Cricetulus griseus: one gene and its partners. The protein of the gene in region 2 interacts with the protein of the main gene of each other region in a biochemical or structural test. Links are inferred from orthologs where the notes say so. Each region holds a gene or a part of one and is shown on either strand. Other genes may lie near its edges.

Region 1 (3,650 bases), on a different chromosome or scaffold from region 2:
GGAAAACTGGTCTTTCCTTGACTGGGACTCCCGCTTTGCTAATTTTCGAAACAACAAAGATAAAGAAAAGGTTGACTCTGCCCCAAGACCGATTCCATCCTGGTACATGAAAAAGAAGAAAATCAGGACTGACTCGGAGGGGAAAATGGATGATAAGAAGGATGACCACCGGGAGGAGGAGCAGGAGCGGCAGGAGCTGTTCGCCTCTAGGTTTTTACATAGCTCCATCTTTGAGCAGGACTCCAAGCGGCTGCAGCATCTTGAGAGGAAGGGGGAGGAGTCTGACTTCCCTCCCGGGAGGCTGTACAACAGACAAGCATCTGAGGGGGCCAGTAGCACAGGTGACTCGGTCCAGGAGCCAGTGGTCCTGTTCCACAGCAGATTCATGGAGCTCACACGGATGCAACAGAAGGAGAAGGAGAAGGACCAGAAACCCAAAGAGGCTGAGAAACATGAGGACCCAGAGACTGTTGCCAAGACCCCGGAACCTGCCACTGAGACTAAAGAGTTGGAGCCGAAAGCCCCCGTTTCAGTTGGGCTTCCTGTGGTCACCCCTGTGACGCCAGAACCAGCATCATCAGCACCAGAGAAGGCTGAGAAAACAGCAGAGGCTCCTTTACTGGCAGGAGAGAAGCCTGTAGAGCCAGCCCCCTTATTGGAAGAGGTGAAGTCCGCCTGTGAGCCGGTTCCTGCCCCTGTGGAACAGCCCAAGCAGGTGGACTTAACCCCAGGAGAGGGCACCAGTGAAAGCACTGCTGTGGCCCCTTTGGCTACTCGAGAAAGCTCAAGTACTGACGCCATCCCTTGTGTGGATGCTGAGCCTCTGACTCCTGGGACTGCAATTTCCAAGGCAGAAAGCAATGTAGACCCAAAACCCAGTAGTCCCCAGCCACTTTCCAAACAGGCTCAGAAGTCTGAGGAAGCCGAAGAGCCGAAAGTGGAGAAGCCAGATGCAGCTCCAGGCATTGAGCCCAGTGCCACTCAGAAAGCCGAAGTCATGCCTGAAGTTCAGCCCCCAGCCTCTGAAGATGTAGAGGCCAATCCTCCAGTTGCTGCAAGAGACAAGAAGACAAACAAAAACAAACGTTCCAAGACACCGGTCCAGGCAGCTGCCACAAGCATCGTGGAGAAGCCTGTCACCAGAAAGAGCGAGAGGATAGACCGGGAAAAGCTGAAGCGGTCCAGCTCTCCTCGAGGAGAGGCACAGAAGCTGTTAGAACTGAAGGTGGAGGCTGAGAAGATTACAAGGGCTGCATCTAAAAGCTCTGCGGGGGACCCTGAGCTCCCTGAGCCCAGCCTACCTCTCAGCCGAACCAGGCGCCGGAATGTCAGGAGCGTTTATGCCACCATGGGTGACCACGAAAGTCGCTCTCCAGCTAAAGAGCCTGCTGAGCAGCCCAGAGTGACCAGGAAGAGACTGGAGCGGGAGCTGCAGGAGGCCACAGTAGCTCCCACCACCCCTCGGCGGGGAAGGCCTCCTAAAACACGCCGGCGTGTTGAGGACGATGAAGAGCATGAGACGAAAGAGCCAGCAGAAACACCCAAGCCAGCTGAGGGCTGGAGGTCTCCGAGGTCGCAGAAGTCAGCTGCCACTGGCGGACCCCATGGGAAAAGGGGGAGAAACGATCAAAAAGCTGAGGCTGCTGCTGAAAGCAGTGCCCAGGTGAACACGAGGGAAAGTAACGCTAAGTCCAGAGGTGATAAAGAAGCAGCAAGTGATTCAAAACGTGACCGGAGAGATACCAGCACAGACAAAAATGGACCTGACCCCTTCCCAGTTGAGGCAGTGGAGAACAAGCCACCTCCCGAGAAAGGCACCAAATCAAAGAGAGGGCGGGCCCGTAACACCAGGTCAGCAATGGACAGAGCTGCACATCTGAGAAGCCTGGACATGGCCACCAGGGCTGCAGGGCAGGCTGTGGACAAGGAAGCTGGGCTTGTGGCAATCTCTCCTGAGAAAAATGAGAGCCCCCCAAAGGAAAGTGGCTCCTCATGTCAGCTGAAAAGTGACCCAGTTGATCCTAAGAAGGCAGCAGAGAAGGATGATGCGTCTACCTCCACGGTGACCCCGGAAGCCACACAGCTAGCCAAGCAGATGGAGCTGGAGCAGGCTGTGGAGAACATCGCAAAGCTCACTGAGCCCTCCTCCCGTACTGCTGACAAGGGACCAGCCACAGGGACTTCTGAAGGCCCTGCCCCGGAGGATGGCCACAAGCCTGCACACCAGGCAAGCGAAACCGAACTGGCTGCGGCCATTGGGTCCATTATCAGTGACAATTCTGGAGAGCCTGAAAACTTGTCTGCTTCTGCCTCCTTCCCCACAGGATCTCAGGCACATCCGCAGGAAGGAATGGAGCCGGGGCCCACTGGGGCCACATCTGGAGACTCAGAGGCAAATGCTGTTTCCCAGTCTTCTGGCTCACAGCTCGGTGCCTCGGTCCCTGCAGCAGGCTCTGCAGACACCAAGGAAACCAGAGAGAACAGCAGTGATGCTGTACAGGAAGCCAGGGGGTCTAAAGTGGAAGTCACTCCTCCCCGAAGAGACAAAGGGCGTCAGAAGACAACACGGTCACGCCGGAAAAGGAATACAAACAAGAAAGGAATACAAACTGCCATAGAGCCTCGTGCCTCTGAGGCTGAGCAGGCTCAAAGCGAGAGCCCTGCTGCTAACGAGGCAACGGCAGCACCCCCAGAAGCTCTCCAGGAAGAACAGCAGAGTGAAAACCTCCCGTCTACTCCTCCTCAGGAATGCACTTCTGATCCAAGCAAGACCCCACCTGCCGAGAGTCTGTGTCAGGAAAGCAGTGTTGAAGAAACGACCCCCTGCAAAGCACCCGCCCCCCCTGACCTCCCTCCTCTTTCCCAGCCATCGCTGGTGGGTGACGAACCCCAGGCCAGGTTCAAGGTGCATTCAATCATCGAAAGTGACCCGGTGACTCCACCCAGTGACTCCAGCATTCCTCCACCCACAATCCCTTTAGTGACAATAGCAAAGCTCCCACCCCCTGTCATTCCTGGGGGAGTCCCACATCAGAGTCCCCCTACTAAGGTGACAGAGTGGATCACAAGACAGGAGGAGCCTCAGACTCAGTCCACCCCATCTCCAGCTCTTCCCCCAGACACAAAGGCATCTGACGTGGATACCAGCTCCAGTACACTGAGGAAGATCCTCATGGATCCCAAATATGTATCTGCCACAGGTGTTACTTCCACAAGTGTCACCGCAGCCATCGCAGAGCCCGTGAGTGCTGCTCCTTGTCTGCATGAGGCACCGGTCCCTCCAGGTGAACCCAAACATCTTCCCTTAGAAGAAAAGTCAGCAACTCCAGTATCAAATGCTTCTGACACCCAGCCCTCAGAGGTCCCAGTAGCTGCTGACAAAGAGAAAGTAGCTCCGGTCATTGCCCCTAAAATCACATCTGTTATTAGCCGGATGCCTGTCAGCATTGACCTGGAGAATTCGCAGAAGATAACATTGGCAAAACCAGCTCCTCAGACCCTGACTGGCCTGGTGAGTGCCCTGACTGGCCTGGTGAATGTCTCTCTGGTCCCAGTGAATGCCTTAAAGGGTCCCGTGAAGGGCTCAGTGGCCACACTGAAAGGTTTAGTGAGCACCCCTGCCGGGCCTGTGAATCTCCTAAAGGGGCCCG
Region 2 (3,650 bases):
GTTAAGGACCAATAACCTAAGATAAACATATGAACCCAGCTTCTTGTATGTGGATATAATTGACAACCAGTAAGAAGGATGTCTCTGTAAACTGTTAATTCAATAGTTTTTCAGCACATTTCATCCAGTCATTACTGATCTGCACTACTGGGGTTGAATATAGTGCTGGGCAGGTATTTGTCACAAAGCAGCACCCTAGCCCTATTTGCATAGCTTGGATTTCACCAATCATTTTATAACATACCTGAAATTGGATTATTCTTTCTTGAGAAAGGCACAAGTACATTCTTTCTGTATCCTTAAGGTAAAATGCACATTTGTGGAGTTGTGATACAGGGTCGTCTGCATCCAGTAATGCTGTCTGCTTATCAACTTTCCTAATTATCTGTATTCCAACAATTTAAAAAAGTAAGTCATCCACATGCAGTTTTTATTTTATACACTGTCATAGGCCATAGAATACACTACATGATGATGTATCAGTCACTAGCCTTATACCTACGTATTAGACATTATTAAGCAATAAGGTTAGGAATAAAAAGTCATAAATTTTATAAACATATGTTTATTAAATGTGGAAATCACCCCTTCAAAGAATACATTAAGAAATAAGGAAAGCGTTCATTCATTGTTTAGATTAGTGCTTTTTGAGATGGCTCAGCCGTTAAAGGCTAGGCTCACAACCAAAAATATAGATTAGTGCTTTTTAAACATTAATATATACATAAATTGTCTGGAGTTCTTGACTAAAAATGCCTAACACACTTGGGGCCCAGCATTCTACACTTGTACCACACTGGTGCTGTGAATGCTGCTAATAGATACAAGGATTTTCACTGTAAGGTTCTAGTGATCTTTTCAATAATATATAAATTTAATACCTCAAGGAAACATCTACAGTAAGCTACTATATCAGTGCTTCTCAACTTTCCCAATTCTGTGACCCTTTAACACAGTTCCTCGAATTGTGATGACCTGACCCCCAAAACCATAAAATTATTTTCACTGCTAGTTGATAACTGTCATTTTGCTATTTTTCTATGAATCATAATGTAAATACTGTGTTTTCTGATGGTCTTAGGTGACCCCCTATGACAAAGCCACTCAAGGATCCCTGGGGGTGGAAACACACAGGTTGAGAACCACCAATCTAGGCATTCTAGAGAACCCATGTGTGTACATTAAAGACAATGCTAGCAAACTTTAAATGATACAAGGCACAACAGGTAGTCACTAAGTTCCATGGAGAGAAACTGCTGCTTGTTCCCAAGAGCATACAAACACATTATAAATACTTATAAATACTGTAAGCCTTTTCCTTCAGCATGCCTTTCCTTCCCTCTCCCTAAGCCTGTTTCTCAGTGCTACTTGAGAAAGACAGACATCGTTCTCACAGTCCAGTCTCCTGAAGCCTCCATAACAGTGGTCCTCAAACTCCCTAATGCTGAGACCCTTTCCTCACATTGTGGTGCCCTCTAACCATAAAATTCATGGCTACTTCATAACTGTAATTCTGAAACTGTTACAAATTATAATGTAAATATCTGATATGCAACCCCCAAAGAGGCCACAACACACAGATTCAGAACCACTGCCCTATAACCTTCTGTCTCAAAGTTTCCTTTGTTAACTATTCACCAAGGCCACCAAGAGCCTCCAGAAAGGTGACCCTCATGCATTTCTCCTCCACAGGGCTTCACAGCCTCTGAAGCACCTGATTCAGACATTTTTCCTAGAGCCATGCCTGCTCTAACAGACCTTTCATAGTGCCATTGCATATGTCACAACTAGTCAACATTTCCACTTAAGATATTTAATATGCATCTTAAACTTACAGTTCTGGAAAGCAGAATTTTGGGATTTTTTTTTTTTCAACTTACAGGGAAAAGAGTGTCTTTATAGTTTTATGATCTAATGAACAAAAATGCCCCAATCCTGTGCATTGTTCCCAAAGCAAGAAATTAAACTCTACCAAATTTTAAACAAATGTTTCAGTCAAGTAGCCTAATAAAAATTATATGTATGTATCTAGGCTTTTGAAAACTTGGTCCTACATTCAGATACAGCAGGTAACACACACAAAGGAATACAGTATATCTGCAACATTCAAGAAAAAAATAACAGACACACAATCAAAAAGGGAACCAACACCAAATTCATTTAAAATGGCATAAGAGACTGACCTCAGCAATGCACTCACAGCAGACTAATTCTTTAAGGGCACTTACGAATTGAGGCAACGGCTAATAGGGGATAATTGGGACATTACATTTTCACATCTAAAAGTATAAAAACTGAACTACACTTTTCTATCTCTCCTAGTTTGTTTCTATCTCATATAACCAGGTCTTACCAATCTTGGGAGTGCCATGCCAGTAACTGAGCACACAAGTTTGACAGTCTGTCCATAGTGGATGTAACCATCTCGAACTGTGAATTCCTCTCCTTCTGATTCATCGTCATCCACTATAGTGGGTGCAAAATAGACAAAATTGCTATCTTTTAAAATTTAGTATATGTTTAAGACACAACAAAATGACTATATTCATACATTTTATCCCCCTAAAGAGAATATATTATTTTCATACTGAAAATATCAAATGTGTATTTTTATACTCACAGAGATGAATATAAAATGCTCCCCATTGTTGTGAACTCGCATGGAAATTTCCTCCTTCTACATGCAGGTATCTGGTACTAACTGTCTGGGATCGAAGTCGATTAAACAAAGCCACCTTTGTTCCTGAGGCAATGCACACTGCAATGACAAGAGGATTCCTATTTATATGACTGAGGCAGAGGTTAACAAAACAAAGGATTTCTGCTTGGCAAATTATGAGTATTTTTACAATAATACAAATAATGAACAGATTCTGGTGGCAAATAATTTAGCCTTCTAAGACAAGGGATAGCAAAAAAAAAAAAAAAAAAAAAAAAAAGAAAGAAAGAAAAGGAAAAAGAAAACAAGGTCTATTTCTTCTCAATATTATCAAGATAATGACATAAAAGATTTTCAAAAATTGGGTTGTTTTTTTTGTTGTTGTTTGTTTTTTAAAACTAGTTTCAGTTCTTTGTTTTGTTTGATTTTTCAAGACAGGGTTTCTCCCATAGCCCTGTCTTGTCCTGGAACTTGCTCTGTAGACCAGGCTAACCTCAGACTCGGAGATCTACCTGCCTCTGCCTCCTGAGTACTGTGTTTAGACATCACTGCTGCCTACTTTCATTTCTTTTTAATTAATTTCATTTTTAATTTAGTATGGGCTTTACAAAAAGCAGAAGTAAAAAAAAAACAAGTAATGGAAAGAACCATGTTGTACCCTTCAGTCAGCTGTCAACTTCTCACTCAGAAAGCGTTACACAATGCACTTAATGTTGTGACAATTATTAGTTGGAAAATTATTTTAAAAACAAATGTCTATTGGTAGACACTTGATTAAATTGATTATAGTAACATTCATGTATTTCAACTATGTCTACATAAATTCCTGGAATATTACTGAATGAAAAGGCCAATGGTGAAACACTCTATACACTGTGGTCCTACTAAGCAACAAACACACTTCTGTATGAGCACAGGAGCGCTTCTAGGTACTTTCATTAAAACCCTATAAAATACATGTTGAAAGGTCTCTACAGGCAGTCCCACTGCA
Region 3 (3,650 bases), on a different chromosome or scaffold from region 2:
TGCTGGACCACACAGGACAGAAAACAGCCAGTACTGTCCTCTGACAGTGTCCATGGTCATTCTGCAGGTGTACACTGTGAGATCAACGTTGATGACTGCCATCCCCACCTTGACCCTGCCTCCCGAAGCCCCAAGTGCTTCAACAATGGCACCTGTGTGGACCAGGTGGGTGGCTATAGCTGCACCTGCCCACCAGGCTTCGTCGGAGAACGTTGTGAGGGTGACATCAATGAGTGTCTCTCCAACCCCTGTGACCCACGAGGCACCCAAGACTGCGTGCAGCGTGTTAATGACTTCCACTGCGAGTGCCGGGCTGGCCACACTGGTGCGTGCCTTGGGCAGGTGGGCAGGCGCCTTGGGTGGACAGGCAGTGGTGGCAGGGCTAGCTCCTTACTGTCTTCTCATCCAGGACGCCGCTGCGAGTCAGTCATCAACGGCTGCAGGGGCAAACCATGCAAGAATGGGGGTGTCTGTGCTGTGGCTTCCAACACTGCCCGCGGATTCATCTGCAGGTGCCCTGCGGTAGGTGCCCCTGGCCCTGTGCAGCTGCTAAGGTCCAGGTCTAAGGGTGCCAGAACCCCTGAATTTTACATTGGGTGGACATGTCCCACGCCCAGGGTAGATTAGCCTGAAGGCTTCTAGCCAAGGCTAGGGATCAAGCCCCATGCTTCCTCATGCCCACTCTCCCAGTTCATTCTTAAAATTTGAGTGGGCATAATACATACATACCTGTAATTCTAGTACTCTGGGGGCTGAGGCTAAAAGATTGTCCTGCATTTAAGGCTACGTTAGGCTACAGGGCAAGTCCGTGTTTAAAAAAAGTTTATTTCCTGCTATGTTGTATTGGAAACCTAGGTCCTCACACATGCTGGGCAAATGTTCTGCCCCTGAGTCCCAGCCCAGCCTCTTGTTTTTAAATAAATGTTCATCTTGAGGCAGTTTTAGGTTTGCATGAGAACTTATCAGGAGGGCCAAGTCCCCACCCTGCCTGCCATTTCCTATGGTTACCACCTTGCATGGAAGGTGTTGAGGATCACACTTATAGCTGGCACTGAGGTACAGTATTTGCTCTGGTGTTAACACTCAGAAATTCATACACATATAATGTACCAGTGTCAGCCTGGTTTTTCATGGTTCTAAAATCTAGGATTCTGCCCTCTTAGCTATCCCTCCATTTCAAAGCCTGTGGTAATCCTGACCTTTCTATGGTGAGGATGTTAAAGGGTCTTATTACTTCGGAAAGGCCATAGACACCTTTCATAGGTCATGAGATGTGGCCAGGCCTAGGATGGGGTGCATGGTGTTCCTGAACTCTAGCACCTTGCTCTAATGCACCATCCTCTCTCCACCACCACAGGGCTTTGAAGGTGCCACGTGTGAGAATGATGCCCGCACTTGTGGCAGCTTGCGCTGCCTCAATGGTGGCACATGTATCTCAGGCCCACGAAGTCCCACCTGCCTATGCTTGGGCTCCTTTACTGGCCCTGAGTGCCAGTTCCCAGCCAGCAGCCCCTGTGTGGGTAGTAACCCTTGCTACAATCAGGGCACCTGTGAGCCCACATCCGAGAGCCCTTTCTACCGCTGTCTGTGCCCTGCCAAATTCAACGGGCTGCTGTGCCACATCCTGGACTACAGCTTCACAGGTGGTGCTGGGCGCGACATTCCCCCGCCACAGATTGAGGAGGCCTGCGAGCTGCCTGAGTGCCAGGAAGATGCAGGCAACAAGGTCTGCAACCTGCAGTGCAATAATCACGCATGTGGCTGGGATGGTGGTGACTGCTCCCTCAACTTCAATGACCCTTGGAAGAACTGCACGCAGTCCTTACAGTGCTGGAAGTATTTTAGTGATGGCCACTGTGACAGCCAGTGCAACTCAGCCAGCTGCCTTTTTGATGGCTTCGACTGCCAGCGCACCGAGGGACAGTGCAAGTAAGTAAGGCTCGGTGGCTTCAGAGTCCCAGGGCTCAGCAGACAGCTGCGGGGGGAAGAACCAAACAAATACCAGGAACATGAGGCCAATGTCTATCCCTCCCCATAGGGGACACCAAGCACATTTCCTAGGTCTGGGCCAGTCAGGGTGGGTGTGAGGCCCACAAGGCTGGGATGTGACTGAGTGTGTCCTGTACCCCTCAGCCCTCTGTATGACCAGTATTGCAAGGACCACTTCAGTGACGGCCATTGTGACCAGGGCTGCAACAGTGCCGAGTGCGATTGGGATGGGCTAGACTGTGCAGACCATGTGCCTGAGCGACTGGCAGCTGGCACGTTGGTGCTGGTGGTGCTGCTCCCACCTGAGCAGCTACGCAACAACTCCTTCCACTTCCTGCGGGAGCTCAGCCACGTGCTGCACACCAATGTGGTCTTCAAGCGTGATGCAGAAGGCCAGCAGATGATCTTCCCCTACTACGGCCATGAGGAAGAGCTGCGCAAGCACCCCATCAAGCGCTCTGCAGTGGGTTGGACCACCTCTTCACTGCTTCCCAGCACCAATGGGGGGCGCCAGCGCAGGGAGCTGGACCCCATGGACATCAGAGGGTGAGTGAGCTCCATCCAGATCCAGCTTCTGTGGGCTGTTTCCTAGTGCATTCCTGGGCCCTGTTACCAGCTCAACCCTGGAGGTGAACTCTGGGGAGGTATTATTCACCCTACTTTATGGTCAAAAAGGACCTGGAATGTGGAGGCCACCTCTCTCTAGGTACCTGGCAGGGTTCACTCTTTGCCCAGCTTGTGGTTTTGAGGCTCCACTATGTATTAGGTGTTTAATCAGGACCAAGCTGGTTAAAGCCTCCAGGGTGGTCCCTGGAGCTAAATCATCCTAGACCAAGCCGGCACCTCAGTCTCTATAGCCTCCTTATCCACACTGCAGAGGAGGCGGGTGGGGAAATGCAGAAAGGCACTGTTGCTGAGCCTTGAAGGCTGAGGAGCTGAGGGTGGCAATGAGGAGGCACAAATAAGGGCATCTCATGGATGCTGCACAGAGCCACCTGGGAACAGGCAGAGAAGCACCAGCCAGGACTGATGTGGTCCTTGCAATACTGGTCACCCCCATACCCTGAATTTGTGGGTTCCAGGAGCCTGCCACCTATTCCTCTTTGAGATGCTGGGCATCTGCCTGGTGGCTCCTTGGTGTCTCTTGACCCCAGCAGTTTCTAGTCCTGGTTTCCTTGGTATGGAACCGCAGTAAAAGTTAGAAATGTGTTGTTCCCTGGAAGCTGTATTAGAATCCTGTGTCTGAGAGGCCATGACTGAGAGTGGGTGACTCGGCTGCCATGAGAGTCTCAGCTCTCTAGCATCTGAGCCTGCTGTTGTCTCCGGCCACTCCTAGGGGAGTTCTGAGGAATAACCCACAACCCGTCCCTGCACTTCTGTGGGGCACCAGGTTACTGCTCTCAAGAGTGCACTGAGTGCCTGAGGACATTCTCTTCTCTGAGGTGAAGAAAGGGGTGCTGTGGTACCTAAGGGGCAAGGCTGAAAAACATGTTGGGCAGTAGGAAGAACCCCTGCTGAGTGCTAAACACTGAGGCTGCAGGGAGACTTGTCCAGTTGCTGGGCTGTTGTTGTCAGATATGCTCTCTGGGTCAGGGTGATAGGATAGGGAGTCAGAGCTGGTGTACAGGCAGCATGCTACGCTGTATCTGATTTCAGTGTGA

Evidence for each region.
Region 1: the proteins of Rbpj (region 2) and Spen form a complex in vitro, tested with the Homo sapiens proteins (2 studies listed by BioGRID and IntAct). The link is inferred for Cricetulus griseus from reciprocal best matches to the Homo sapiens genes RBPJ and SPEN.
Region 3: the proteins of Rbpj (region 2) and Notch1 form a complex in vitro, tested with the Homo sapiens proteins (5 studies listed by BioGRID and IntAct, with this or other methods). The link is inferred for Cricetulus griseus from reciprocal best matches to the Homo sapiens genes RBPJ and NOTCH1.

Annotation. Positions count from the first base shown.
Region 1 is NC_048595.1:11,780,637-11,784,286, forward strand, and holds part of Spen (msx2-interacting protein), read left to right. Parts: coding exon 1-3,650. UniProt on the Homo sapiens protein: May serve as a nuclear matrix platform that organizes and integrates transcriptional responses. In osteoblasts, supports transcription activation: synergizes with RUNX2 to enhance FGFR2-mediated activation of the osteocalcin FGF-responsive element (OCFRE).
Region 2 is NW_023276807.1:121,908,531-121,912,180, reverse strand, and holds part of Rbpj (recombining binding protein suppressor of hairless), read right to left. Parts: intron 2,759-3,650; coding exon 2,621-2,758; intron 2,467-2,620; coding exon 2,354-2,466; intron 386-2,353; coding exon 245-385; intron 1-244. UniProt on the Homo sapiens protein: Transcriptional regulator that plays a central role in Notch signaling, a signaling pathway involved in cell-cell communication that regulates a broad spectrum of cell-fate determinations.
Region 3 is NC_048599.1:137,857,370-137,861,019, reverse strand, and holds part of Notch1 (neurogenic locus notch homolog protein 1), read left to right. Parts: intron 1-67; coding exon 68-325; intron 326-409; coding exon 410-522; intron 523-1,357; coding exon 1,358-1,929; intron 1,930-2,133; coding exon 2,134-2,535; intron 2,536-3,650. UniProt on the Homo sapiens protein: Functions as a receptor for membrane-bound ligands Jagged-1 (JAG1), Jagged-2 (JAG2) and Delta-1 (DLL1) to regulate cell-fate determination.